Linked DNA regions of Coturnix japonica. Each later gene encodes a partner of the first gene's protein in a complex. Links are inferred from orthologs where the notes say so. Each region holds a gene or a part of one and is shown on either strand. Other genes may lie near its edges.

Region 1 (10,208 bases):
AGAACCTGCTCGGCAGCAGGATCCAGCACAGGGCTCCAGCCCAGAAGGCAGAAGCTGGCTGGGTCCAGCCGGGGCAGCCACGATGCCCTGGGGACAGAACAGCCAAGCAGCTCCGTTCCACCCTATGAGCGCACGGGGTGAGGCACATGGGCGTCCCTACCCTCTGCTGGCCCTGGCAAAGCTCATGGAGCTGAGCACCTTCTCAGCTCCCAGTCTAATTTTAGCTTCTTGCATAACCTGCTGAGTGGAATACTTCTGGAGCAGCGCGGTCCAGCAGCTCCCACCACACCACCCCTTCCTCCAGCCCTGAGGCACTCACTGAGGTGACCTTGCGATAGATCTGGGCAGCGTTCTGGCACTCTGAGTAGGGGTATTCCGAGGTGGCCATCTCCAGCATGCACATCCCAAAGGCATATACATCAACGGATTCATCATATTTCTCCTCATACATCTCGGGGGCCATGAACTCTGGGGTTCCTGGGAGCACACAGCATGGACAATGATGCGCCTGTCCCCACACACACCTCCACACCCCCCATGACCCCATCCCACCTATCACACTCTTGGCAAAGGAGGCACGTTTAAGCGTGGCCAGCCCCAGGTCCCCGATCTTGACAGAGCCGGTGGGGCCGGTGATGAAGATGTTGTCACACTTGAGGTCACGGTGGATGATGGGGGGTGAGCGAGTGTGTAGGAAGTGCAGCCCTTTGAGGATCTGGCGGCTCCAGCGCTGCAGCACTTTCAGCTTCATCTCCTTGAACCTCTTCAAGTAGCTGCGAGGGGGCAGGGCTGGCACCACAGCACCCCACGGACACTGACACAACCCCGTTCCCCACGCCTGACCATGATCCCACCACCACCATTGAGCTGCAAACAGCACGCAGCAGCCAGGGGCTCCCTGTACCCCCTCCCAGAGGCAGCACAGAAAATGCAGCTAAATCCAAGCCAAGATGCCAGTGCCAGGAGAGCAGTGGGAGCCAAGAGTGAGCGCTGCCCTGTGACACCCTGGGCCCCCCCAGCCCATGTGCTGGCTATCGCTCCACAGCAGAGCCCTCCCTCACCTCTTCTTCCCTGCACACTCTGATCCATCAGCCCCCACTCACGTCTTAAGAGTGCCAGACGTCATTAACTCAGTGACCAGCACAATGCAGATCTGCCCTTTGACGGATGACTTCCAGGAGTCGTAGAAGCGAACGATGTTGGGATGCTGCAGCCCCTTCAGCATCTCCACCTCCTCGCTGAAGCGCTGCCGCTCTGTCTTAGACAGCTTCCGTGTCTGCAGGGGCAGGAGGGAGTGAGGGGTACATGGGGCTGTGGAGCTGTCACATCCCACCCCCCTCCCTGCGCTCAGCCTCGTGCATGGCTCTGACGGAGCCACTTGCCTCATCAATCAGGCCAGGGAGGGATGGATCCCCCTGTGCTGAGCTGCGTGTGAAACCCACCCTGAGCCGGCTGCCCAGACCCATAGCCAATGCTCGGTGCCCAGCACCAGAATGGGCATTGCTAGCCCCACACTTCTAAGTGCTCAACCTGCTGTTCTGCCTCGTGCAGACCTGTCTGCCCCTGTCCTGGGCAGCTCCTGCCCTCCGCTGCTGCACAGCAGCTGCAGGCACCAGGCACCTTCATGGCAGGGAGCCGGCCTGCCTCAATGAGGCCTTTGTTGGGGAAAGCAGGCGTGGGAGGCTCCAGCCCAGGTTTTTCCATGTTCCTCCAGCTAGAGTTAATTAAAGTTGAAGCCAAAGAGAGCTGACACAGGCACTGAGCAGGGCTGCAGGGAGGATGCAGACCCTATAGGGCCCTCTACAGCAGAACATGGGGATGCAGAAGGAGCACGAACGTGCCCCACACCCCGTGCCCCAGCACAGCCCTGGTGCAATGACCTTTACTCTGCACAGAGCCAAAGGGACCAGGGAGCACAGAGCCCAGGAGCTGGCACAGAGTCCCAGGAGCCCAGGTGGCAGCAGTGCCAACAGCATTAGCGAGGTGCCCCCATTGCTGGGTGCTGCCTGTCCCAAGCACAGCTCTTTGGCTGCCAGCCGCCATCCAGCAGCTTTTGTAATATTTTCATTGCATCATAACTGGCCCCATGGCTGGGCTGGAGCTGCTCCATAATCCCCTCTCTTCCTTAATACATGCTCAGGGACCCAGCTCAGCCCAGAGGAGAACTTGAGCCTTGCTGCAGTGGATGAATGGGATCTTTCATAGCCAGAGAGGAAAACAGCGCCCCAAGGCCCCTGAGCCGCCCAGCACACACCCTGCCCCCCCAGCCCACCACCACCTACTGCAGAGCTTCAAGGAGCTCAGAGGTCTGGCTGCACCCCATGGAGCCACGGGGCAGCTGTGCAGGCTGCGGCCAGGGCTCAAGGACTGTCAATGTGGCTCCCTACATTCAGTGAAGGGGGACCAGGGTGGCATGTGGACGTGTCCCCCAGGGAGCCTGAAGCAAAGATAAAGGGAGCCCCACTCTTCCCTCAAGCCTGTGATGGATCATTCCAAAGATGGAGACAGGCACCTCAAGGGCTCTGCCCTGCCCTGCAGGGTGAGTGGTACCCAGCATGACCCCAGTCCCACTGGAGACACTCAGGCTGGGATCGCAGTGCAGGGCAGCACACAATGTACAGCTGGGGCTGCCAGCAGAGCTGTCTGCCTGGGACACAGTGTCTTTTCCTAGCAGACACCTTCTGAGGAGGAAGAGGAGAACGATGGGGATGGCAGCGCAGTGCTGGGGAAATAGTCCAGCTTCATCCTAGGGCCAGGAGATGGCTGCTAGTGTGCACAGCTGCAGAGCTGGAGCAGCGCCTGTGGCATCGTGTGCTGCTCACCTCAGCCAGAGGGTCCCAGCAGCATCAATCAGTGAAAGACTGCACTGTGCAGAGCTGAGAGTCACACCAGGAGGAGAAGCACCCAGGGCCATCTGTAGAGGTGCTCAGTGGGAATGGCACAGGCTCTGGGCACTCAGAGCCCTGAGGACACAGTCCCTGCAGCCACACAGGAATCCAAGAGCACCCAGTTCTTCTCCTAGTGGGTGCCTGCACCACCTGCTCCATTCCCAAACCTCCGACCCCCTTCAAGCATTCCCCTCTCAGCTCTCAGCCTCCCACCAGCACAGGATCCAGAGCAGATCTCTGGCAGCATGGCAGCACCCGCCCTATAGGGCTGCTCCTCCCCCCTCCAGAGGGGTCCCCACAGACAAACTACGCATGGGCAACTTATTTACAGCTCAATCCCACTCTGGGCTTCTGGTTTCCTCCCCACTTCCTCCTTTCCCCCAGCCCTCAGCACCTAACAGAAATAGTCTCAAATCTAAAGCTGGAAAGCACAACAGGTCATGGCAGGTCTGTGGGATGCAGGGACACACAGCACTGCACAGGGCTGCGGGCAGTGGGGACAAAGAGGCCCCCAAGGGGTCCTACAGGAAGGCAGAGAAAAGGCTTTGGGCAACCTGGTGGTGAGACAGGGCCAGGACAAGAGCCAGGATTTGAGACTGGGAGGCTGGATGAGGCTCCTGGGACCGGAACTGCATTCAGGGCTGAGGTTAGGTGTTCATTTATATTTTAAAGGTAATAAAAGGAGAACTGTGAAAGACACGGGACAAAGCTATTTTTAAAGGGGCAGAACCACAACCATTTTTATTTGCGGTTCCAAATCCTGTATTTGTGTCACAGTGTCTGATTCTTTGCATGATTGCTGGAAAAAACAAGCTTTAACAAGTTTGCTTGTGTGCTGCCAGACCCTCACGGGATGTGCACTTGGGGACAAGAAGCACTGAATAAAGAGCAGAGGGGACTGTTTTGGGGCTGCCTCTGCTCCACCCAGAGGGTGCTGCTCTAATCCCCAGGCACCTGAATGTAACTGGCACACGGTGCCAGCCCAAGCTGCAGGACAAGTGCTGGGGACTGCAGCCCAACTCCCACAGACACCCTGGTTCGGTACGCTGGGTACGCAAGGGGATGCAGCCCAGCACAGTGCACATGAGTACCAAGCTGTGCTGTCAGCTCCAGGATTTGCTATGGCTGCAGTTGGGGCACAGTGGGGCACACGGGCATGGCCCCACAGCAGGAACGTGAGGCAGCCAGGTGGGATGTGCTGGGCATGAGCGGCTCCTCTATTAGCCACATTCAGCAGAGATGCTGCTCTCACCAGCACTGAGCTGTGGCTTCCTGTGCTGGTGAGGGCACAGTCAGGAGCTCAGGGATCTTAGAAGGGAGACATGGGCATAGCAAAAGGGGAGCACTGAGCGGCTCTGGGGAATCTGAAGCAGTTGCCCCATCTCACAATACTGAGGCCTAGAACCACATCCTCCTCTCACAGGCTGTAGTCACCCCTCCAAAAGTCACACACCATTATCTAAAGGATCTCTCCTTGCATTACTGGGTTGCAGCCATCCCATGCGGACGCGCCAAGGCTTTAGGAACAAGACAACAAACTTGCAAGACATGTTTTTCTCTGTAAACAAGGACTTGGACCTTCCAGCTGCAGCAGCCACCCCCGGGGCAGGAATCTGTTGGAGACTTTGGACTTCACCAAAGCCCCTCCCTGGGGGCTGCAAGGAGAAATCTGGAGCCCCACTGCCAAGATCTGCTACTGCAGCCTCACTGCCACAGCCAGAACTGCTCCCAGCACACGCAGGAGGGGACTGCTGTGCTCAGCTGCCCAGCATCACATCCTGCTGCTGGGGAGCAGTGGAGGAGAAGATGGGGAAGCCACAGGTTCAGATGCTGTTAGCGGGGAGCACCTGGAAGCGTCATAGAAACCCATGTGGGTGCCCACAGGCACCACTTCAACCAAGGACAAGCAGCTGACGTGCAGCAAGGACGTTCTGTACCCTGCACCTTTTCGCACCCAGCCCCCGGCTACCTGCAGCACTTGCTCCAGAGCCTTCCCAGAGCTAACGAAGTGCACCTCCGAGCCAACTCCGGCACTGAGACGGCTCCCCTACCCTGTCTGCGCTTCCAAATGACGATCTGTGAGCTGATGAGCACAGAAAGTAGCGGGGTGCAGCCCAGCCCGGATTTTCCCCCACTGCCCCAGAGCGGGGCTGGAGCCGCGGGCAGGGGCAGCAGGCGCCCCATGAGCGCTCCGTAGCTCAGGCAGCGACACAGCAACGGGAAAACAACGTGCGACGGTGGGAGGGACGACGAGCGCGGGGCTGAGCGCGCAGCCGAACCCCGGGGCACCGGCAGCGCACGGAGGGTCCAAACCCCCCGCACGTTCCCAGCCCCACCGCTGCAGCGGAGAGCGCTGGGTGCGCTGCGGGGGGACCGAGGCTCCCTGCCGAGCAGCCCCTGCCTGAGTGCCCCTGTTCCTGGGCTGCGTCACCCCGAGCTGTGCCGTGCCGTAAGGTGAGCACCCTGCCCTCGTACCTGCAGCTCGCACCACGCCACCTCCACTGTTGTCTCCGTGTCCAGCCCCTTATAGACGGTTTTGAAGGAGCCCCTTCCAATCTCGATGTCAAACTTCAGGAAGCGGCCGTCGGGAGAAGTGGCCACGGCGCGCGTCTCCACCTCCTCGCTCTCCGTCTCCTCCGGCTCCCGGTGAGACGCGGCGTCCGACGGCGGCGGTGACCCCGCGCTCGGCCCCGGGTAGCCCAGCAGCTCCAGCTCCACCGAACTCCGCCGGTTGAAGCGGGAGGAAGCGCGGCGGGAGTCTCGTCCCGATGGCCTCCGGTTACGGTTACGGTGCGGTGCTCTACCGGGGAGCCCCGGCTCCACCGGGGAGCCGCCGCCTGCCCGCTCCGCCTCGGGCTGGGACATGGTTCCAGCGGCGACGGGCTCGACCGTCAGCATCAGCTCCCGCAGCTTCGCACCCCGCAAACAGAAGCTCCCCGAGCCCCGACACGGGCCCCGGCACCGGCGTGGCCACGCCCAGCGGCACCCGCCCCTCCCCGGCGCGGCCACCGCCCCCCAGTCCCCGTTGCACCGGGGTGGGCATTGGCAACGGGAAGGGCACCGGAGCGAGCGCTGTTGTAGGTGCGGTGCCAAGCATCGGGGCGAGCGCTGGGATGGGCGCGGGATACGGGCTGCGCACCGAGAGGCATCAGGTCCTGGGGCGGGCACCGGGCACCAGAATGGAGACTGGAGCAAGCACCGGGACGGGCACCGGGCACCGCCAGCACCAGGACTTCCCCCATACAGGGCCCACATCGACCCCGAGCCCCTGTGCCTGGGCAGGGCTGTAGTGATCCCACTCGTTCATTCCAGCAGCGATGGGTCCGTGCAGGGCCAGGTGATGTGCGGCCATGTTGGGCTCCGGGGCAGTGTTTGCTTCAGCCGCTCTCAGAGCTGTAGCTGAGAAGTTTCAGGGCAGTGCCGGTGCCTGAAGCTGCACGTCACTGTCCTGGGCACTGCCGTGCTGTCAGATCCTGCCCTCCCGGGCAGCTGCTGCTCTCAGGGTTCAGTACCAGGTGAACTCCTGAAATGAGGGTCACACAAATACTAAGATGTGAAGGTATCCTTCAGCCTCACGCTCACCAGGAGCCTGGACAAGAGCTTGTTGTCTCCACAGTGTAAATGATGAGGTTGTTCTACCCTGTAAAGCTGTTTACACAAAATACAGAGCAATCGATTCTAGCGTTAATTTCTTTTCCCTAAGGTCAGATTGTTTCTACTCAGCGGTACAGGAAACATTAAGGGTTGAAATGTTAACACAGCCGTGTTCTTTGCGCAGATTTAAAGTGCCAACGCTGTGATGCAGAATCCAGCTGCTCTCACCCACAGCTACACGAATCCCCATCCAGCTGGATGGATGAAGAAGCACGTGTTGAGTGTTGTTGCCACAGAAGTCCTGGGCAGGCTGCACAGCCCCCTGCACACAGGCAGGACTCTGTACCTTCATGCTCCCCTAGAAAGAGGACTGGGGAAACCTCCAGGAAGGGAAAACCCAGTGACAGTGCTGAGCTGTGCCCTGTTCCCAGCCAACAGTGCAGCCCTGAAGCACCCCCAGCCCCAGGCTCTGCCAGGTCACTGGGACATGGACAAGGCTGGCAGGCAGCCTGGGCTCTTCAGCGAGGGTACAACACGCAGAGCCAGGCAGGGCTCTTGGTCTCTTTTCCAGCAGGCTCGTGTCCCATTATCACGTTTTCATCATGAAATGAGATGCCTGGAAATGACCCAGAGGAGCAGGGAATGAGAGCCCCAGATGAAGCCCCTGCAGAGAAGAAATTGGGCACGAAGCTGCCTTGATGCTGTACCCCCACACCTCTGCAGTGAGCACTGGAGATATTTCCTCTTCCCTGCAGCTACAGAATCACCGCGGGCTGAGCAGTAGCAGGTGACCCTGCAAAGAGATGCAAGTGCCCCCCAACACATCCCAGGACATCATGCTGCAGCTGGGTCGGGGCTGAAAGCAGGAGTTTCCCATGCAGTCAGTGCTTTCACTGTGCTCAGCAAACACACGCAGTCCTGCATGTTATCAGGGTGACATTTCTCCTGGCTCCCAGTGTTGGTGCCAGCCCTGTGCTTTGAGCAGCCGCTGCAATCAGGCCATTCAGCATTTCCACACGCATTTGGCTGCTGGGAAAAGAGCAGGGAACTACAGTCTCTCTGCTCAGGATTAGATCACTCATCAAAGAACAACTCTTCTGTTCTGAGCCCAAAACTCAGGGTGGGATAACAGAGGGGCTGGGGCCAAACATAGGGGTACCTGTGTGCCTGCAGGGCTGTAGCGAGAGCTGAGCAGCCCCCCAGGAGGACCTGAGGAGTGTGAAACATCCCCTCCAGAGGTGCTGCAGGGAACGTTCCCTGTTGACTGCAACACCCCACACCTGCGGAGCTCAGTGTGCCCCATACTCTACAGCACAGAGCTGTGGGAGGAGACAGCACTGCAACCTCAGCAGCAGCTGCAGCCCCAGGCAGATAACTGCTGAGGATTTCCTTAGCCCAGAGTCACAGACATGACCTGCATGCACATTAATCCCAACTCATACATTTATCAAACTGAAGCAACTCTTGATCCTAACTAGCTGCATGAAATTAAATATCCTCTCAACTTCCCCCCCCACCCCAAACAGCAGAACCCAAATGTGCACAGTGCGATAGCACCTTATCTCAGCACCAGCCCCCCGTGCTCCACCTTGCCCCAGCCCATGAGCCCTAATCAGCACATCCAGACGTTGGCTGTGACCTCAAAGCCCAGAAATGGGGACCCACAATCCACTGAAGTCCCGTGGGTTGGCTGCTGCTACTCCCCCACCCTGGGATGCAGCATTTGCTGCACAAGGCTCTGGGCAGCATTGCTCATGGAGCTCAGGGCACTCTGCAGCAGTGCAGACCACAACACCCTGCACGAGCAGCTCACAGGGATGGCAGCACAGTGGGCACAGGGCAGGCTGCCTGAGCCGATATCTGTTGTGTGTGGCAACAAACACATCTTCTGTTCTTTGCCTTGTTCTGGCATTATGTACAGCCCTAATATCATGCATGTGGAACATGGGGAGGAGCTGCCCTGGGTACAGAGAAAGTTATAGTTGGAGGTCATCCCGCTGCCTCTTTAGAGTTTAATTACATCTCCTACCCAGCACCCCAGGGCTTCCAATCCGGTGCAGCTCTCATGTAAGCACCTCTGGGCAATGCAATGCTCAGATGTCCCAATCTTGTGATTACATCACTAAGTGCTATAAAGCAGCACATAAAGATAAGGAAGACCGTTTCAGTATAAAGTCTTTGTTTTTATCATAAGCTACAGCTTGTCATTGTCAGCACTGTATAAATTGTATAAACAGCAAACAAGCAGACAGCTCATGCAGCCCCACAGCCTTCCTAGGGGCAGCTGGGTAACCCCCCCAGCATAAAGCAGTGTTTCCATGCTCGTCATCTCTGCTGCAACCTGGCCTTAGTGCACAGCCCCAGCAAACGAGCAGAGAACATAAGCAGCTGCCTGTCCCAGGGTGGGACAAGGGGGAAGCACACTCTTCCTCCTCACCTCACTAAGTGATTCAGGAAACTGAAAAAGAGCCGTGACTAACTGCCAGGAGAGCTTCAGAAAGAAAAAGGCTTGTTTTAGACTTATCTAATGTCACATCAGGCATTTCCTAAGAAGGGAGTAAATTCAATTAAGAAACCAGACTCACTCAAGGACAGTGAGGTTACATTCAGCAAATGAGGCTCGGAACAATGCTGAGAGGTCAGGACTGCCAGTACACAGTGCAAGAAACGCAAACATCCTGGGCTTGTCTGCTGGAGAGTCTTCATCCAGGGCCAAATGCAGATGCCACTGAATGCAGAGAATGGAAGGCACAGAAACATGCTGCAGGGCTGCAAAAGCAGCAGAGAGGGCACAGCAACGAGAGAGGGAGAATCAAGATGGGCAGCACGGAGAGAGAGAAGAGGCTCATCCCAGACACCAAAATAAGGTCCAGACAGATGCTGGTAGCAGCCAATTCCTTCGTGAAGATTTTCCTGGCTGTTCTGAGCCACAAACGTGCAGACAGGACCACGGTCTAACCAGTGAACCTCAGCTCCTGTGCTCTGCTGGCACAGGAACTGCTCTGCAGCGTTGGTGTCACTGGAATGCAGAGATCCGTCAGCAGCCTTCCAGCACAGAGCTCCAGCACACACAGGTTAGTGATTAAGGATTTAGCAGGTCATATACTGTACCTGGGTCACCATTTCAACAAGCTGTGGACTTCATAATGAGTACTGAGAACATGAAACTTAATTACATTCTCCACCGGCCTGCTCTTCTACAGAGCTTACCCCGCCACCGCTGCAACAAACACATCTGTTTTCAGTGGATTGCACATAGCAAATGAAAGCTAATGTTACCCTGAAGACAGGTAGTGAGAGCACACAGTCTGTAGCTCTGGCACGTGGAAAAAAGCCTTCGTGGCGCCTGCTTCCAAATCAGGCAGGGTGCCTTTGCAGGTCCACCCTCTCCCCAGTACAGTGTTTGTACAGTGCAGTAAGGAAACACAGCTGAAGGGCAAGAATTCAGTACACTGTTCTGTTTTGTTTCAGATGGAAAAACAAAGATAGATGAAAACACCCAGGCTGCTCTATAAATACATCTCATTTTAATTACTTCAGATTAGCTCCTTGGGATCCACCTCACCACACAGATCAGCCCGCTTCGCAGCAGGTGCGTATCAGTCTTTCAATGAGGTCTTTTACGCCACAGCAGCAACAGCTCGTTCTGTGTGTTTGCTTTCACCTCACTCAGCCACGTGGTGGGGGCTGCAGAGCCCAAGCACACGGCTGGAAGGTGGGAGCAGA
Region 2 (9,448 bases), on another chromosome or scaffold:
GAACAGAAAGAGCAAGCTCCAAAGCAAAAAGGAAACAATAAACGAAAAACTAAATCTAAACAAAACAGAGCTTGAATAAATGTTAATTCTTAAACCAGAGCATGAATAATCACTACGCTAAGAAATGTGGTGACTCAATACTGCTGTGGGATTAAGAGGAAAAATAGTTTCTGCAGCCTAAGTGAGAAGTAATTACAGCCTACAGCTCCATACGGAGCACAGGACGTGTCCAGGCACACTGAGTGCACAGCACACAGCATGGAGCAGGGTGCTAACAGGGGGCTGAGCCTGAGCAAAGCCCAGGTCCTGGACATTAAACCTTTGGGTCTTCACTTATACCAACGAGGAGGCAGATAACAGGAGCTGGGTCAGACCATAAGCATGAGAAGGGCCAACAACAACCCAAGGGAAACACGGGCTGAAATAATATTTGCTCCAACTTCAATTTTTAAAACTAATTGATAACAGTTTTATTAAGAGAAGTCCATGAATACAAATATACAAAGGGATACGAGTCGGGCTTTGTAATTGGTGAAATAAACCTCTCAGCCCCAAAACTTCTCCCCACCCTGTGAAATAAATAATTATATTTATATATAGTATATATTATTTTTATATTTTATAGATTTATATATATATATAAATCTCTCCAGAGAAGAGAGGGCTCAGCTCAGCCCAGGTAGAGCTGGAGCTGCCTGGAAGGACCCAGTCAAAATCCCACAAGTGAGGGGCAAAGCAGAGCTGCATTGACAGTGTCCATTGGGACCAGTGGGCAGGAGAGGGGCTGGGACACTCTCCTCTAGGATTGATGCAGAAATAGCTCAGAGGGACTGATCTGATAACATTGGTTGTCTTTGTGCACTCACGTGACACAGCCAACAAAAATAAAGGCTGTGTGGGTTTCTACACCCACCAGCAAGCTGCCAGCCCTGCATGCTAACATCTTCTAGTGGCTCTGCTCTGATACCATCCCACAGCCACAAAGAAAGTCACACTGTGTCCCAGGGCAGGGGCAGTGGGGCTGGGACCTGAGCCCTCCAGCCACATGTCCTAATGAAAACAATAAGACAAAGGCCCAAAACCTCAGCCCTTAAGTTCTTGGAAGAAGAGGAATGGCTTGGGTTGGATGGATGTGGGAGGGATGCCTCCTCCCACAGCAATGCTGAAATCCTCCCATGTTACTCATAGTAACAGCCCCACCTCCATAGTATCTGTAGTCCTTCTTGAGATGATTACCGTGGTTTTGTTTTCCCATACTGATGGAAATTATTGTCACCAATCACCCCCAGTTGTGGTGCCAACAAGGACCGTGCACCTGAAACACTCAAGAAAACCAATAAAGAATAGGAAGTGCTGGGTCTTGTGTCTCCTTCAAGCAGTGGAGAATGCAAGTGGAACAAGTGCCTGTTTATTGCAGGACTTCCCAAGGCTTTCGTCAAGAGACAGGCCTAACCACAGGTCACTAGATGGCAAAGGAATGATCATCAGAAGGCCATCCATTAGTCCAAGATCAGGCCAGTTACAGGGAGCAACACACATGCATTCAATATCAGACACTGGGGTTGAGCTGTGGTTCATTTCCCATTGCTCAAGGCTTTATCCTGACCAGAGGATCCACCCCATTCCCCAAGAAGTGTTTCCTCCAGCAGGGACAGTGTGCCCAAGCTGCTCGCACCCCTGCATCCTGCATCCATTCTGCAAGCATGCACGCACAGAGGTGCAGCTGCCAAGTCACACTGCTGATGTGCAATACATAGCTGAAAAATAAATCCCAACAAATAGCCAAGCTGAGACTTTAAACATTTGGCTTTTAGAAACTGAACCAACACAGCTTTGCAAGAAGACCCAGTCCATAGAAATTTGGGATCAGAACTGAATGGACAACTGGTCCTTGCCCGATCCACTGCCTGCAGGGCCGTGTTGGGGCCCCACGGCTGCCACCCATCCCAGGGCACACTGAGCAGCCGCGTGACTGCGGGGCCTGATTACTGGTTAACTTGCTGCATGAGGGATTACACTTCTGGAGAATTCCTACGTGGAAACATGAGCAGCCCCAGCCCTGCTCTGCACCACTGCATTCCTGTCAGGTGACCTCTAAGGATCAGAGGGTTCTCCAGTGATTTTTTTTTTACTTCTAAACCTTCCTGTCAGGAACCAGCATCACAAACACTCCCCTCCCCAAAGCACCCAGTGCCAAGGCTCCCCACAGAGCAGCAGTGCCATTTACCTTTGCACCCACACAGATAAAGCCACGTGGCAAACTTCACATCTTGTCTAACATTCAGACATTGGTTCACACTTAAGCTTCTTATGGAAGGGAAGGAAAGATGCACAAACAAGAGGCTTTTTCCCAAGAAATTCTGCATTTTGCTTCTAGTATGGCAAATAAATCAAAGCCTAACCTCAAGGTCTGTAAAAGCAAGAAGCACCCACAATGCCAAGCTGACACTGTTGGATCTCTCTGGAAAAGGCTCTCTACTCTTCAAGGCCATAGACCAAGGAGTACAAAGCACATGCAAACACCATAAAGAGCTGAAGCTCTGAGACCATGGCAACCATTCTCTGCAGCATACATTTACCTTGGTTATGTCAGTTCCTATCCTAGAAAGGAGGACAAGGAAAAGGAAAGGAAGCTAAGGTGCTCCTGACCATACTGACGTTACCAGAAGGACCTAAATAAGTTGGCTAATGCCTGCCTTGGGACCAACACAGCTCTCCTTGCTGTCCCACCCACTGACAGCCATGGCCTATAGGGATCAGGTGATTGGGGCCAGAATTCTGCCCCCTCCTTCCCTTCACATTGAGGTTGCATCTGCCATTACCAAAATACACGGGGCTGTAACAATGCACCCTGCAAGAAAACAAAGTAAAAACACAGAGCTACTAATGCACACTGGGATCCAGAGAACCACAGTGTTATTTTGGGCAGCAGCAACAAGTGCCATGGGAGATTAAACATCCGTGACCACGAATAAGCATCTGCAGGGCTGGGCCTCAAAACTACAACTTTTGTGCCAGCAGCTTCTTTGATGTGAACAGGGCACAGCACGTGTGCCTGATGTTAACAATGTGTGGTTTCACGACCCAAGCATTTGCTGAGGAATAAAAAACCACCCACAGCAAACCAAGCCCCACAGTAACCTTCCTGTGTGAGTGATATTCTGCATGCTCCCCCATAGCCTGATGCCGCCCCCAAGCCCATTTACCGTGCCCCAGTGCAGGGTCTGCTGCAGAGTACCTGTAAACATGGCACAAAAGTAAGGGCTGCAGGCTGCCAGGACCACGCGGTGCGCTTCCATCTCCACAGTTTCTGCCACAATCACTACATCACAGAGCAGTCGTTTGCTGGAAAAACACCAGAATAGACAAAGATTGTTTCAGAACTGGTAAGGAAAAAAAAACCCAAACACAACAAGTACATTTTATGCCTGAAGAAGCAAGCAGAAGTCCTACTGCTAGGAACAAGGCACTTGAGCCTTTAGGGGACAGCAGTCAGGCCTGCAGCTTACCCCTGGGCCTGAGAACTTCCCTACCCCATGACTTAGGTGGGATTAAGAGTCACAGGAATAAAACAACGGGTTCCAAACACAACCAAATAACTTCTATGCTCCCCACTGAATCACTGTATGGCTTTAGAAAAGCCACTTCATTAATCAGTGACCTTTCCTAGCAGCCCCACGTATGTCCTTTGAGGATTCATTAGTTAATGTTTGCACAAGGATTGGAGATGCAGACAGTGAGGAGTGCTCAGCCTCCCAATAAGTTGGTTTAAGATGTTTGAGCATACAAATGCAAAAATAAAGGCGTTCTTTTCAAATGTTAAGCCTGAAAAAAAAAAAAAAAATAGTTTAGTGCCTGCAAATCTAGATGGAGCCGTCTCATCAGAAATGCTTATCAAAATGCTGTGCTTTCTCCCGGGAAACTACACATCAAATAAATACATACAAAACTCCCCATGGTCTTGGCATGTCTCCTCCTCCTCCTACTCCATGGAAGAAGTAAACAAAATGATTTGTGAAATGGAGGGTTACTGATGGAAAACAGAATGAAAGTAGGAACTGACAATCTTTGTTCTACCTTCATCCTCCTTTGGAAGGGATGAGGGCAGTAATGGGAGCTCTTTGAATCGGCTCTTAAGGGAAGCTTCCGTTTCCTCCAACTTATGTAAAAGATGCCCCATTCAGTTCCTCTATGGACTATAGTTATTTAAAGTACCGCTCGTTAAAGTTAATTCAATTTACATTTGAAAGCTAAAAATTCCAAGTGAGCAATATATTGCAAATAGGCTAAAGGCTCAGCAAGATTCTTGGTGACCCTCAGCTTGGGACTGCTCCATCTCCACTCGGGATTTCTCCGTGCATTTGACCTAAGGCACAATTATTCAAGGTAGCTATTAACACTGACTGTCGACAGCTTAATGGATCACAAGTGTAATAGACATGAGAACTGTATATTCCAGAACAGCAGCAGGGGCTGAGGAGGAGGGTACCTAGAAAAAGAAAACATCAAATAGGTTCTTAAGGGCAGCTTTCTATTCTATCCTGTATGTTTTATCCCTTCACCATTACACAAGACCTAGCTGACTGCAGGCACTGAGAAACACTGTCAGTCTCCAGCTATTCCCACTGTGCTTCAATTAACAAAGGAATAATAGGAGCACAATAGATTTCTGAATATAGCCACACAAACCTCTATTTTCAGATCTTTTGCTTTCAGTACAAAGAGACGACTAGAAGGATGCCAATATTAAAAAACCATACTTTGCTTCATTTAACTGTTACAAGGGATGGACATCTCCATTTTCTGCTCCTTACGCAACTGAGAATCCCTATGAGACATCTGGAAGAAGACATTTCTCACCCTTCTCTGCACTGGAGAAAACAGACATTGGGAAACTACTAAATCCACAGAAGCGAGGTGCTACAGCAGCCTCTTTGGAGTACTCTGAGCATGCAGAAAGAGTAAAGGCTGTTATCTGCTTTCATCGTGCCATCTGGAGAGAGGGAGCACACAAATGTGTACGACACGTATTTTTTCACAGGACTTCTTTCAAAGCTTGTGACTGCTGGAATGGCAAACAACTCAGATGAATTTGCTGTTAGAAATACTCCCTGAGCCTCTGCCTGGTTCTTGGGGGAACAGCTGAAAACCAGCACAGGTTTAACTACTGCCATCACACCAGCAACTGCTTCGTAAGGACTGTGCTTGCTTACATTTCCTCAGCCCCCATTCTCCCTATGCCCACACAGCTGTTTAAAGACACCAGGGTGTTCCTTCTTAACTGACAATGGCATTTTTTTTAATTTCCACATAGAGACCTGAGCTGTTAGTGGGGCTTTTTTCCTACTTTGAAGTGCTCAGCCCAGATTGAGCAACAGCCCCAGTTCAACGGAATAAGAACAGTACATTCATAGTCCCTGGTCTGTAATTATGTGTAGGTGTCTTTCTGTCTGTAATATTCTGTTACTGGTTTTCAGACCATTAGCCCAGCTAAGAACATAGTTTACAGCTAAATTTGCTGTAAGTAATGGAAAATGCTACATGAATTATCATCACTACAGTGAAGGATATCACTCAAATAACTTCTTGAGCTGCTGTTGGCTTCCTTCTGACTGGAAGACAGGCAATGTGAGAACGGGCACAGCACCCCACCACAATGCAGCTATATTGTAGCTGCTTCTTTCCACTTGCTCATCAATACCCTCCATGCAACCATGAGAGTTCTCTATTTATTTTAAAGCCTTTCTGTTTCAATCAGCACCTTTAAATCAGAGAGGATGCCCATTAAGTCAGAAACGTACCTCCGCAATTCATTCATGACCTTGAATGCCTTTCTCATGTGTGAGGGGTTGACCGTCACTGTGCGCTGGTCCTTTTCATCTTCACCTGCCTCAGAGGATCGGGAACTCTGCTTAATGCTGGAAAGAGGAACAAAACAAGAGCACAGAGTTTGATTCTGCGACGCTTCAAAATTAACAGGTATCATAAAACTGCAGCACAGAGCATTATCCATGGAGTTGCTTGCACATTTGTTAGTCCAACCAGGATTGCCATATGAAGAGCGTCACAAAACGCAGCTACCTCTGCACTGATGTGGAAAGCCAAACAACCCAATCAGCAGGGAAGAAAAAGAAGTGCCAAACACTCGAGGACAAAGCCCAGTCTTACAGGCTGCAGTCCAGGAAAGCAGCGTAAGCTGAAATTCAAGCCAGAACATAATTGCCTGACTGAATCGGAATAGACTCCAGCGCTGGGAGTTGCAGGAGTTCCATGGATATAGTTTGTAGAGAAAGAGAAGTTTTACCTTTTCACTCTCATCTGAAAAACCAACGCATACAATACATCTTCTTCCATAGAGGCAAATAGAAAAGGACTATTGAAACTACCTGCAGATTTTCCAAGCATTAGCTCTGCAGCAGCCACGTTCCGTTTCCATTCTAGAAATAGGTCTATTTAGTGCCACTGAAATGTATAGAAAGAATTACTAAACTCGGCTTTCCCGGCAGAACTACAGGCTGTATAGGTAATGTAAAACCAGATGCACCCAGTTCTGTGCTGTGTTTAACCAGGCCAACAGGTGCCTAAGGCACATACGTGTCCTCATTACTTTGTTCTGAGTGTTGGCTCTTTGCACAGAATTGACATAAGGTCAATATCACCACCTCTATGATTCCAAAACGCACAAAATCACTCGGAGCTTAAGGTTCCCACCTGTAAAACAAAGCAGCATTTTAGTGTGAGATAACTGTTCCACTAAATCTACAGCTCATACCTCGAGCCTTCCAGCAGGCAAAAGCAAATAAAACAAGCTGAGCAAGGTCATCCTTGTTGAATATCAGCTCCAAGTGAATGGCTGACCCTGGGAGGTAACCCCATCACCACCACCCAGCAGCCTGGAGCCCTGCTCAGAGCTTTCCTTCCAAAGGACGGTCCCCATCAGCTTCAGGTTTCATACCCTTCTCCTTGTCGCCTTTCTTACTGTGCTTGTTTCAGGACAGAACAAGCTGAAGCTGGTTAAACCAACAGCTGCACATCCAGGCTGTACCACAGGCGGCCTCTGAAGAAGGGTATAAAGCCAGCAAAGAGGGTAGGGTCATTCCCCAGAACAGCCTACTGACCCCTGCCAATGCCTGTACATTATATGTATCTTCAAACACAGTAATTTTCTCCCTTACAAAACACAATTATTAACTATTTACAGCCCGCGATGTGTTCCCTTTACCAAACATGACATTCTTGTGGTCAGTAGCCCAGTACAGCCAGATGACAAGCCAGAAGGGAGGGCACCCCTTGTTAAACATTCAGCACTCACAGGGCTGGCAGCAGACAATGACACAGCCAGGTTTTGTGTCCTGAGGAAAGCAGTGAGCCTACAGCACACACAGCATCCAGCTCCCATCCAGCCCCACTGCAGCCAGGAGCCTCCAAGCACCACTGTGATGTGACCATGTTCAGCTGCACCTCCGTGCTACACTGATCAACACCCTCTGTTGAAACCTTTGGCCTAGTGAAGTTTGACCATAGCTCTAAAATCTCAGCCTTGCTTTTCAAACAGCCAAGCCTTCCCTTGTGCCATGCCAAGCAGGGCAAAGCAGGGATGTGAAAGCGTGAGCGGCTTCTCCAAGCTTTCAGTCTCCAATGCACAAGTACATACAGAAAGCAAACAAATAAAGGGAAAATGAAACTGAAAGAGGTGAGCAGACACCTGTGCCCATTGGATGCTGCTTACAGTCACAGTCAGAGACCAACCCTGCAGGATCCCAGACCAAGCACTGCACACAAAAATCACACAGCTTCTTTAATCCAGAGCAGCGTGCCACTGAGATTTATTTGTTAGCACTCCGATGCCAGCATCCAAAGACTCATTATTTCCCAGCAGGCAAGAGATGCAGATGAGAGGACGCAGCAAGTTCTACTGAACACCAAAGTAAAGGTCAGAACAACACGCCTCCATTGAGCCTCCACTGCACCACGTTGGTCTGTGTATTTTAAAAGCACAAACCTTGTTCTTTTTGAAAAAGACCAACCAGATCTTCCTATAAAGCATGAAAAGCAGCTCTTTCTAAAGCATCCTGATGAACGTTCTCAGGTTTACTAGAAATGGTGAATTTCATATTATACCAAAGAGCTCGCCATAGGAAAATACTGCATTTTATCTGGCTAGCAACTCGCTTAAATAAAGAGGTAAAATCAATATATGCTATTTAAAGCTCTTCCCAAATGACTAATGTGAAATAAAAGTTTAAAAAAAATTAACGGCCAATTGCCTTTAACTCATCTCTCAAACTGAGTCAGCTTCCACAGAACTTTGCTCCATTAATACAGAGGAGAAAGATTTCACACCCCCACACAAACTCACAGATAACACCAACGCGTTCCTAACATCAGAAACACAAGGATCCTCCACTGCCTGCAAACACAACCTGCCTCAAAGAACTGAGCTGCGCAGACCACAGAGCCCACTTACGTAACCCTGCTTCTCCCACTACACGGAGAGCTGTTACGCTTCAGAATTACTCTGTTATTTCAGTAAGGCAGCAAAACCAAGGAGAGAACCAAGTCCTCGCAGCAGAGTGGGCCATGCCATCCTGCCCATCCCCGAGCTGCGCCAGGAGCTGACATCCAGCACACAGCAGGCCGGGTGCCAGGAGCAATTTGTCCCACCCTGGGCCACCCGAAGCCGTGCAGCGAGTGAATGGACAAATGATTTAATTTCCCTGAGCCAGATGAACACCCTCGTTAGGGACACAGCAGGACTGAGCCCAGCCATGCAGTCCTTCCTTTCAGAGCACGCCAACCGTGCTGCCGTCCCTCTGCACGGCCTTCCGGTGCCATCCCCAAATGGAACAAACGTACCCCAATTTCAGAGCCCCACACTGTGCCAGTGAAGCTCAGAGCACTGTTTACAGCCATTTCCCCCTCTCCAAGCTCAGCAAGCTCAGCTCAGGCTCAGCAGCTCCTTTGACTGAGCTGGGCCACGTCCCAGCCTGCGGAGAGCACTTACAGCCCATAACCCACAGCTCCGCCGCATGCAGGCATCACTCGTAAAGTTGGGTTGCCTTAGTTACCAGCAGTAATTACAGATGTCTTTGTAGATTGTGCTAAAGAATAAAAGCCTCCCTTAGAGCTAAACTGTCCCCTTGCAAGGTTATTGCCATGTAGAGAGCTAGTAAACCACAGGAACAAAAATCACGCCTCTGCCAAAATCAATTCTAATGCCGGCTTTAGTTGAGCCACCCTAAAGGAGGAGCAGTTTCCAAATGAGCTCTGCTTTGGAATAGGAAAGGATGAGCTCCTGCTAATATTCCAGCACCTGGTGTCCTCAGGGACACCAAGCTTTGGAGACCTGCTGGGTCCTCACAGTGAGTGCTAGGGGGGCTCTGGGTGCTGCCACAGCCCCCTGTTGGCACCTTGGCTTTCCCCAGGCACAGTGAGTTGCCCTCCTCCT
Region 3 (9,448 bases), on another chromosome or scaffold:
TATCCTTTACATACACTGTAATAACTTAAGAAACTGCAGTTATTAAAAGAAAAGATTCCTAAAACTGCTCTTGTTTTCTACATAGCAATTTCCCACAGAGAACTTCAGAATTGGACCGCTAGAAATTGAGACAATTACAAAGCGTGTTTGAGGAAAAAAGGGACTGGTCACACTGGAGTCTTCTAATTCATCATTACATGCTAAATTCCTCTTCAATACAGTTCAATACCTTTTTCATTTTTAGTGAATTAATTGTTTGAAGTCTATATTCAAAATTAACCATCAAATTCTTCATGCCCATTCTAGTATCTTAGCTTTTATTTTACACAGTGCTTTGCTTGAATGCTTCAAATTTCTTATCCCGGCTGCAGCTCAATATACTGTAAAAAAAGAAACCCTAGATAACGTTACCTGCATAGCTCCTTCCTGTACTCATACAAGATGACACAACTGTCCATTTATCAGTTGTTGGATTATAATATTCCACTGTTGATAAATTACAGGAACCATCATCTCCTCCAACTACATACAAGAGACCATTTACAGCACAAACGCCTAAAAAAAAGACAGGAAACCAATCATGAAAGTTAATGATCAGCTCATTCATACCCATGAAAGCATGATTTCCATGCTGTGACATCATCAAAGAAGCAGAAAGCCATTTAAAAGAAAAAGGAGCATCCCATTTGCACCTAATTTTACTGCTAGCATTTTAGAGTAACTGTAGTACATACCTGCGTTTCTTCTGCACATGTTCATATCTGCAACCTGCTTCCATGTACAGGTGACGGGATTGAACACTTCCACGCTTTTTCTTACCAAAGGCCCATCATGACCACCTACCGCATACAGTAAATTGTTTAACACACCAACACCTGTGAACACATGAAAATACTCAAAATTAACTACAGCGTAATTTGACTGATACCAAGAAAACAAAAAAAGATCTGCTAAAACAAATCATTCATCCAATGTTAGGAATTATTTCAGAAGACATTTAGGTCAGGATACATAAAGCAAGAGACAGTAAACTAATGCAAGACACTGATAAAATGTCTTGCATGCCCATCCATATTGCAGCATACAGAAACCAGAGGTGTTCTGCAACATAACGTTTAAAAAACTTTGGATGAAAGGATGATGAGCAGAAATAGGAGGACTGCTGGAGTTTAGGACTAATTAGAAATGATAGTAAATAATGCAGTATGCTCAGTCAACATAAAGGAAATCTGATAAAATGATAAAGCAGAACTGAATTTTTAGAATATAAATACTATGCAGTACAGTAAAGCTGAATGGACAGACATTAAACAACAGGAATGCTTCCACTGAAGTGCTACGATACCACCTTATAAACATGTATGAAACAAAAGTAAACAATTACAGTGAGTAGCTTCTTCCTGCAGATCTGGAGGAGAACACAAAACTTCCTCGAGCCAAGCTTTAGCTAACGAATTATCCAGAAGTATTTTTTGGATCTCCTTTAATCCTAGCATCCCCTTTACAACATTTTACCAATCTATAAGCTTGGGATGAAGTAGCTAGTCTAGGCCTACTTGCTAGTTAGACTGCACGTACAGAAAAGATGGTATCAGAGGAAACAAAAAGGGAGGCCTGTTAGTTTATGCCTCACTTTATAATGCACTGTTATAACCCAAACATATTGGGTTTCAGAAGTGCAATTTTTTGGCATTAAAACTTGCAAATGATGGACCATAAAGATAATTAAAAATCATTACTATGAAAGTACACCGGGAAACTTATTACGTGTTATATTTGAGATTGTAAAGTTTAAATAGCATGATACAAATTTGCCAAGATAGTTATTAAAGAGTTCCACAAAAAGGGCACAGCTTAAAACATGTATTAAAAAGGAAAGGAAATGGCAAATATGAAGTTTTTCAGACCAAAAAAAAAAAAATGTGGCTTAAGAAAAAAAAATGTTCTGAGACCTTGAAAACCAGCCAAAACATCTTTGAAAAATATATCACTAAGATTGTGAGTATGGGCCATTCCTATACTATGAGGGGAAGAGAAAATAATCCTGCGGAAACAATTCTCATATAGAAAACAACAACAGCTTTCAATAACTAAAGGAAAAGGGGAAGGAAACATGGAAGAGTTAAATAGTATCGCAAATCTGAAAAGTAGGTCTTAATATGACACTGATTTATAAATCATGCTATCTAGTGCTCTGTCAGTGACATTCACTACTGACATTTGCCTGTACCCATCCCTGTTAATTTAATTCCTCCTTGATTGCTATTATTTCTAGCTATCACGTCACAGTACAAAGTGACAGCTTTTCTTTCTCCCACTCTGATCTCACTTTATTAGACAGGATAATACAACATTCATCTTTGGTAATGTTAAACATGATAGAGCTAGGATGGCTAAGATTTTTAGTTTAAATGTGCAACGTGACATAGATCAAGCAAATAACTAAAAAGAATGTGCTTCATTGATATTTTTCTTCCCCACCTGAGTTTTCTCTCCAGTTTCTGACCTGCCTATATAGCATATATAGTTTTCCTCTGCCATATTGCCATTTTTTATTTGGCAATTCATTTTCTTTTTGAAAATGTCGTTCATTTCTCCTTGGCCCTTCATTTTCCCTTAACCCCACACCCCATTTCCAAGTCCTACCTTATTTCTTGCTCCTTCCGTCTGTATCTTCTTGTTGCCGTCTTCAGAGTTCTCCTGTTATTTTTCTTTCCTGCCCATTTTTCAGGACCCTGTCTTACCTCTCTCATCCCTCCCAAACGGCCTATATCTGAATCTGAAGTTCCTCATCCCAATATGTTGCCGGAAACAGATTTGTCCCCACTTGATCAACTGAGATGCAGTTGGTACTAGAGAAGATTAACTGAGGGTTAACCTCTGAAGTTGCTTTTGAATGAAGATGAAGCAGTAGGAACAGAAGAGATGGGCTAAAGTTCCTCGAGATGAACAGAGATCCATAGATTTAATACAGGAACAAAATTCTTTTTAGCAAGTACCTAAAAACACTAGGACTGACCACCAGTTGAAGCAGATATAGTGGTTTGAGATATCTGGCTGACAGATGAGCTCAATCAACAGTCACGATTTTTCCACATTACCACCCACTCCTCCCCAAGCATAAATACAATTTTCCATGCATTTACGAGTGGCACCAAAGAATGTTGGATTATTTTCCTCAATTACGTGAACCTAAAATTACTGACTAGATTCACCTTATTCCTCTCTATTTCTTTTTTTAAACAGAAGATAAGGTAAAAAGCGGCACAGGTATGTAAACAAGGTCCTGAATTCTAAGGCAAGGAACAGGAGGAGAGGGGCAGGGCAGAAAGATCCTTATAGCTGTTGCATTTAAGGCACTAAATTTTAGGCTTGTAGAAGAAAAAAAATTAAAAACAAACAAACAAACAAAAAAAATCACCTGAAAATATCCAGTATATAAATAGGCTGCAGGCACAATGACAGTTTGCAAAAACAGGTTGTAAGGGTTTTTTTCCCATTTAATTATTATATTTTTTAAACTTAGATAAAAGGGCATTGCTCAAAGACTGCAAAATGAACCTTTTTAGCAGCCCACCAACACAATTTGTCTTCGTGATCATTCAAGTAATTTGGCTGTTTTATGTAAACATCTTCCTCAAAACTTGCCAGTATGAGACAGCTGCCTTACTGCAGCTCTGGCCAAGCTTTAATCCGGGATTTATTTTCATGGTATACAACCAAAGTAACTAGAAGTCTCACAAGAAAACTACTGCTTTTATTAAGATGTACCATATCAGATTTATTTCATTAACGTGATAGCTTTCAATTAAAAACAACAAAAATGTTATTTTTGGCAATAGTGGACCTGTCTACTTGGTAGTTTTGTAAAACCATTAAAGGAAATATCACAAACTAAGTAGCTTAATTTCAGTATTGATTTTAATACTTTTATATAATGCCTACTGAAATAATTTGGATTGACTTTAAACATCATTACACAGATTAAAAACTACTCAATATTAATAAAGAATAATGGAAGGCAAGATGAAAAGTTGTGACAACTATCAGTCATCTACAGAGCAGACTGCAAGGCCATCTATTTTATTTGTAGCAACATCTCTTCCAATTATGAAGCAGGTTAGCACAATCACAGGTAGATATTTGATATTTGAAAGGTGTTGCTAAAAAGCACCGTTGAGTACTTGACAAAAAAGTGACCTAAGAGAAAATATAAATGTAGAAAAATAATACTGTGCGATTTGACTTGAAAAAGTTCATGTTGGATGCATCTAGAGAAATAAAACAACTTCAGCAAGTTGAAAAAACCTGAAATACCAAAAGACAAATAGAGGACAGCAAACAGTAAATGAGAGTTGAGTCCATTATAGATAATGAAAATGCTAAAGTCAGTGTGGAGCTCTGGAAACATCATTTCATTAAGCAAGAACAGAATACCACAGGCACTTTTGATGTCTCTGAAGGGAAATAGATATATTCAGAATCCCAAAGGGAAAAAAAAAAAAAATCCATGAAAAAAAATAAGTACTTTTAGGATTCTAAAGAAATAAATGGATTTACCTTGGATAAACTATAAGGAAGGATAATGTAGTAATTGTACATATCTAAAGGGTTTAAACATCAGGTGGTGAGAAGAATTACTGAAGATGAAACGAAGGGTACATAAATGGAAGTAGAAAGATGAAATCAGTAATACAAACTTAAGAACAAACAAGGACAGAATTTCCTGCAGTAAACCATAATGAAGAACAAATACTCCAAAAAGAAGTGGAAATCTAGTTTATGGTTCACATAAAAAGTGCATCTGAAAATGCTATTAGATAAATCAGCCAAATGCTGGCAAAGAGATGGTTTTTGAGGAAATGACATTTCTCATCCTGGGCGTCTAAATTTTGATAATTCACTATTTAGCTAATACTACAATGACTGTAATAACCATGCGTAGTCCATTGTAAAATTCAGAAACTATAGGTAGAGCATGAAAAGTATGAAAAAGCAAAGGAAAATATTTAAGCAGACCAAATTTTACTCTACAAGACACTTCTGTATTTATAACCTGAGATAAGTCTGCCATCTAAAACTAATATTTTTCATTACACTCAGACTTCAGCTTACCTTTTATATTTCCAGTAAAATTTAAAACCACAAATCTGCTTCGGTTTTACTATGATCATTGATTTTTGTTCACTCACCTGCTCCACTCCTTCTAGTGCTCATTTCTGCAACGTAGCTCCACTCATTTGTATTGGCATCATAGCATTCAACTGAACTAAGGCACTGACGTGATGCCCCATCATAGCCACCAACTGCATACAGTTTACCTATAAAGGTAATCAAGAAAAATCTGTACATTTCTAATGCACATGGACTATACTGTTAAACATGTGGAGGGGATGTCACTGTTCTGAGTTAGCTGCTACCCAGTACTTGTATCAACTGGTTACTGCAAGTTTCTATTTTTGTCCGTAGTTCATGATAATACACTGTGGTTCTTGTCATTTCTAGGAGGTAAAAGGCAGCTTTTGTATCTAACAAGAACAGCGCAAGTCAAAAGATTGTGAATTGCCTAGCTGAAATATAAAGGCACTTTTCTCTGTTTTTAATTAAGAACTGTTCAAAGGCAAACTAATTCAGGTGCATCTAACATTGCTCGCTCACTTCAAGGCTTTCTAGGAACATCAAAAAAATTCAGATGAAAATTACTTGAATAGTCTCAGTTTTCTAGATAAGAAACAGTGGCTCCTATGCAGCTAAAATAAAGAAGTGCCTGAAACTGTTTCAGGACGCACAAACTAGCTGTGGTCTGCATTGCACAAGCAACGACCAAGCTATTTGCTACCAAGTTGCCCTTGAACACATCAGCCACAGATAACAAAGCCAACAGCACAAAGTTACATCACTGAAGACCAATTTCTGGACATAGGTTCAGTAAACAGGCTCTTTATCTTTGCTGACGTGCATAATACAGAGCATACTTGGCTAGCACATTTCCTGCTGGTTGGCCTTAGGCACATCTGATACACAGCTGAAACTGAAAAAAACATTACAACACCTATACTAAAAGCTTGCCAAAACAAAGTAGAAAGACTGTGTTTTGTTCACACCATTTAAATGACAGGGTTGTGCAAAAACCAAAATCTGAAGCAGGTGAAAAAAGACAATAAGGTAAATGATTGCATTTCTCCTCTTCATTTCTAATGTTACTTGTAAACTTACCTCCAACAACACCCACTCCAACACTACTTCTTCTTGTGTTCATTGGAGCTACATGAAACCACTCATTAGTCTTTAAGTTGTAAACTTCAACTGATGATAAGCCTATGAAAACAATAAAACATTATGTTCTCTACAAATCTAGAAGCAACATACCTTACACCTTCCAGAAGATTCTTCCTACCTGTAAAATCAAATAAATTTTAAACTTAACTACTATGCAAAAGGGATAATTGGTATACTTTAAATAGCCAAATACAGTCACCACATTCTCTTTAAATAAAGAGAAAATGTTTTCTCCCGTGTACACATGCTCATCAGTAGTAGCTATTAAAGAATCTATTAAAGAGAACAGCCCACAGCTCAGTACTGAGTAGAAGGATGTGACAACTAAAAAGCATGCTCAAACAACAAGGTTCTAGGCTATCCTCACCATTCCTTTCATCACAGGTAAGAGATACAAAATATTTGATACCGTTGCATCAAGAGTAAAGAAAACTTATCAACAGAATGTAAAGGCAAATATACCTGTACTCCCATCAAATCCTCCCACAGCATAGAGAAGTCCATTTAATACAGCTGCGCCCAGTGTGCTTCTTCTGTCTTGCATATTAGCAACACTTGTCCACTGGTCCTTCACTGGATCATAGGAATCTACTGTGCGAACTCTTAATGAGCCATTGAAACCACCAACAGCATAAACCATGCCTCCCATGTACACCATTCCTAGAGCAGGAAAATGGGAAAGTTGTCATTACAAAGGCAGTGTCATAGAGCCACCCTTCCTTCAATCTAAGTACTAGAAGTTGTGATACTTTTTGTTATTCGTGTTTCACATTCCTGAAAGTGATGCTTGCTGAATTACTTCTTCCTTAGATATCTCAAATACTTTAAGATCACATTTTCATCTTCTTGGTATCAGGTGGACATTTCTTTACATTCTTCATCTAACATAATACTACTAAGGTATGTTAGTAATAGAATTACTAATTACTATAATGTATTCGTATTTTAATATATTTATCCTCTGTATTGCTGGCAGTTGAAGTAGTTTAATCTCATTATGAGCCGAAATACAAATTACATTCAAATTATCAAACTTGTATGTGTCTAGATAAGCAAGTGCGTCATTCACATTATAAGGATGATGCTGAAGACTAGACTTAGCCCTTCTCAAATAACTATTTTAATGACTGATCGAACAAGTGTAGGAAGCTTTATGTAGACAAGAAGTTTGAAGCATTAACCAATGCCATAAGATATTGGACATTATTTACCTGCTCTACATCTTCTGGAAGGCAACTCAGCCACCTGATGCCAGCGTTCTTCTTTAAAATCATAGCACTCAACACTGCGAATGGCCTTTGGTGCCTGCCCTCCAACTACCATCATTAACTGAAAAGGAGATAACATTTGTTAATTATTTGTAAATATGAGTGCACTTGTTTTTAAAAACCAAAGAGTGATCCTCTAAAAAAGTAATTTGGGCCTTGCAGTAGGCATTACTCATTTTTCAAAAAACACAATTATTAGCTCTGTCTAGAAAAAAATATCTGAGGTACAAAAGCAGGAACCAATAAGAATTAAAAGCTCCCATGAACGAGGCAGATTCTGCTGTGTCTCCACATCATACTTGGACTGCAGGTAGGATAATTTAGTAGCTGTGACATTCAACAGTACTGTGAACATCCATCACAGAACAGCCTTATTTGGTTCCTTTGAGGTAAAAGTGCTAAACCTGCTGAAAGGAATCTTCTACTCCACTCTTACAGTTGCTAAGAGCACAACAAAACTTGTTTCACAGGTTATATGGATTGTAAAGCTAACCTCTTCTGATATTTTTTGAGACAATCTATTCTGATGTGAATTATTTTACTGGACTAAGTGATACTAATGCTGTCATCATATTTGTTAAAATGAAATTTGAAGAAATAAGTGCATTGGAAAAATTAGGGTCTTACTTTTGGAAGGCTAGCAGGTGTTCTCAGTTTCGTTCGAGTGCTTTTCATCAGCGCTCGTTGCTCAGTTGGCAGCAAATGATACTTCATAGCTTCAATGAGGTAATCCTTACAAGCACTGCTGTTCTTAACCAGTATTTCCTCTTCAACTCTCTGTTTATTAATAGAGGTTTAACAAGATCTGAGCACGTTAAGGAAGTAAAACACAAATCACACTCTGAGGTGTAATAAAGCCTCTATCACAGAAAAAAATACAGATTACCTTAATTTTTTAGCTAATAGTTTAACCATTTAGGCACTAACATATGTAATTGTTGGCAATATGCAGCGATCGAGAAGAAATCGGAAGATGTAGATTCTCTTAATTAGTAAGTGGAAGAAAAAGCATTTGGCAATAGCAAGTGACTGCTCACAACCAGACATTTCGTGGCTTTTCAAATACAAATGCTTAAAGGTAGACTGGAGGAGAGAAAAGAATTTAAAGCAGCCTGCAACAACGAAGTGGAAGAAATTCATATAATAAAGACAGAATTTCTAAAACTAAATACTACCACCCTACTACTTTACCTATTAATGTTAACGGTGATACCGTATTTTCAGTGTTAAATATCTGACCTGACATAGTCAACATGACCAACATGATCTCACAAAATTAACATACATATTTATTTTATATATGAACCAGGTAAAGAAACATTGTCACTGATCCCTAAACATTTTAACAGATATAATTCTGAAACTTAAACTCCTCTTAGGAAGTGTTGTATCAAAGTTGTATTACATATGAAAGCTACCCTGATCTCAGAAAATTATCTCATTCAGATTATTAGTATGCCATGACAAGCAGTCATCCAAGCAAGTAAATTAATTATACGTGGCATCCTTTATGTGGCAATCTCTTATTTGACTGTGCGCATGCATACACGTGTGCACATGTGGTAGTGGTTTCTTTTGTTTTTTTACCATTAGTAATGCATTACGTGATACTGTTGTTTAAATTTAAAATTATCCATCTGACATTAAAAAAATAAACAACTGTTCACGTGCTAAAGAATTAATATTCTTTTTTGCTTACCTGAACTAAATACTCCCGGGAAAGCAAAGGCAGCCGGACATGCTCCATCAGGCGTGCCATTAGCTCCTGCCTTACATCTTTGTCATGGTTTACCCATGCTATCACCGCTTCAAATACCTTCCAGGAAACAAACAAATGCAAGTCCCTTGACTTACAAATCCGTGAGTACAAAAGTATCAGTCTGTCTCCAATAATAGCTTTT

Evidence for each region.
Region 2: the proteins of WNK4 (region 1) and KLHL3 are in contact, whole or in part, in a crystal structure (PDB 4CH9), measured with the Homo sapiens proteins. The link is inferred for Coturnix japonica from reciprocal best matches to the Homo sapiens genes WNK4 and KLHL3. Residues at the interface, in NP_115763.2 of Homo sapiens: Glu557, Pro558, Glu559, Glu560, Pro561, Glu562, Ala563, Asp564, Gln565; in NP_059111.2 of Homo sapiens: Arg339, Phe355, Gly357, Ser358, Leu359, Arg360, Thr386, Phe402, Gly404, Gly407, Ser432, Tyr449, Gly451, Ser481, His498, Arg528, Tyr577.
Region 3: the proteins of WNK4 (region 1) and KLHL2 are in contact, whole or in part, in a crystal structure (PDB 4CHB), measured with the Homo sapiens proteins. The link is inferred for Coturnix japonica from reciprocal best matches to the Homo sapiens genes WNK4 and KLHL2. Residues at the interface, in NP_115763.2 of Homo sapiens: Glu557, Pro558, Glu559, Glu560, Pro561, Glu562, Ala563, Asp564, Gln565; in NP_009177.3 of Homo sapiens: Arg345, Phe361, Gly363, Ser364, Leu365, Arg366, Thr392, Phe408, Gly410, Ser411, Thr412, Gly413, Ser438, Ser439, Tyr455, Ser487, His504, Arg534, Tyr583.

The regions. Positions count from the first base shown.
Region 1 is NC_029542.1:4,638,768-4,648,975, reverse strand, and holds the start of WNK4 (serine/threonine-protein kinase WNK4), read right to left. Parts: upstream 5,787-10,208; coding exon 5,364-5,786; intron 1,277-5,363; coding exon 1,104-1,276; intron 774-1,103; coding exon 553-773; intron 478-552; coding exon 320-477; intron 1-319. UniProt on the Homo sapiens protein: Serine/threonine-protein kinase component of the WNK4-SPAK/OSR1 kinase cascade, which acts as a key regulator of ion transport in the distal nephron and blood pressure.
Region 2 is NC_029528.1:3,624,667-3,634,114, forward strand, and holds part of KLHL3 (kelch-like protein 3), read right to left. Parts: intron 5,919-9,448; coding exon 5,802-5,918; intron 3,346-5,801; coding exon 3,239-3,345; exon of another isoform or gene 3,207-3,238; intron 1-3,206. UniProt on the Homo sapiens protein: Substrate-specific adapter of a BCR (BTB-CUL3-RBX1) E3 ubiquitin ligase complex that acts as a regulator of ion transport in the distal nephron.
Region 3 is NC_029519.1:20,949,131-20,958,578, reverse strand, and holds part of KLHL2 (kelch-like protein 2), read right to left. Parts: intron 9,364-9,448; coding exon 9,247-9,363; intron 8,325-9,246; coding exon 8,175-8,324; intron 7,609-8,174; coding exon 7,491-7,608; intron 6,940-7,490; coding exon 6,742-6,939; intron 6,319-6,741; coding exon 6,217-6,318; intron 5,322-6,216; coding exon 5,193-5,321; intron 876-5,192; coding exon 735-875; intron 556-734; coding exon 412-555; intron 1-411. UniProt on the Homo sapiens protein: Substrate-specific adapter of a BCR (BTB-CUL3-RBX1) E3 ubiquitin ligase complex that mediates the ubiquitination of target proteins, such as NPTXR, WNK1, WNK3 and WNK4, leading most often to their proteasomal degradation.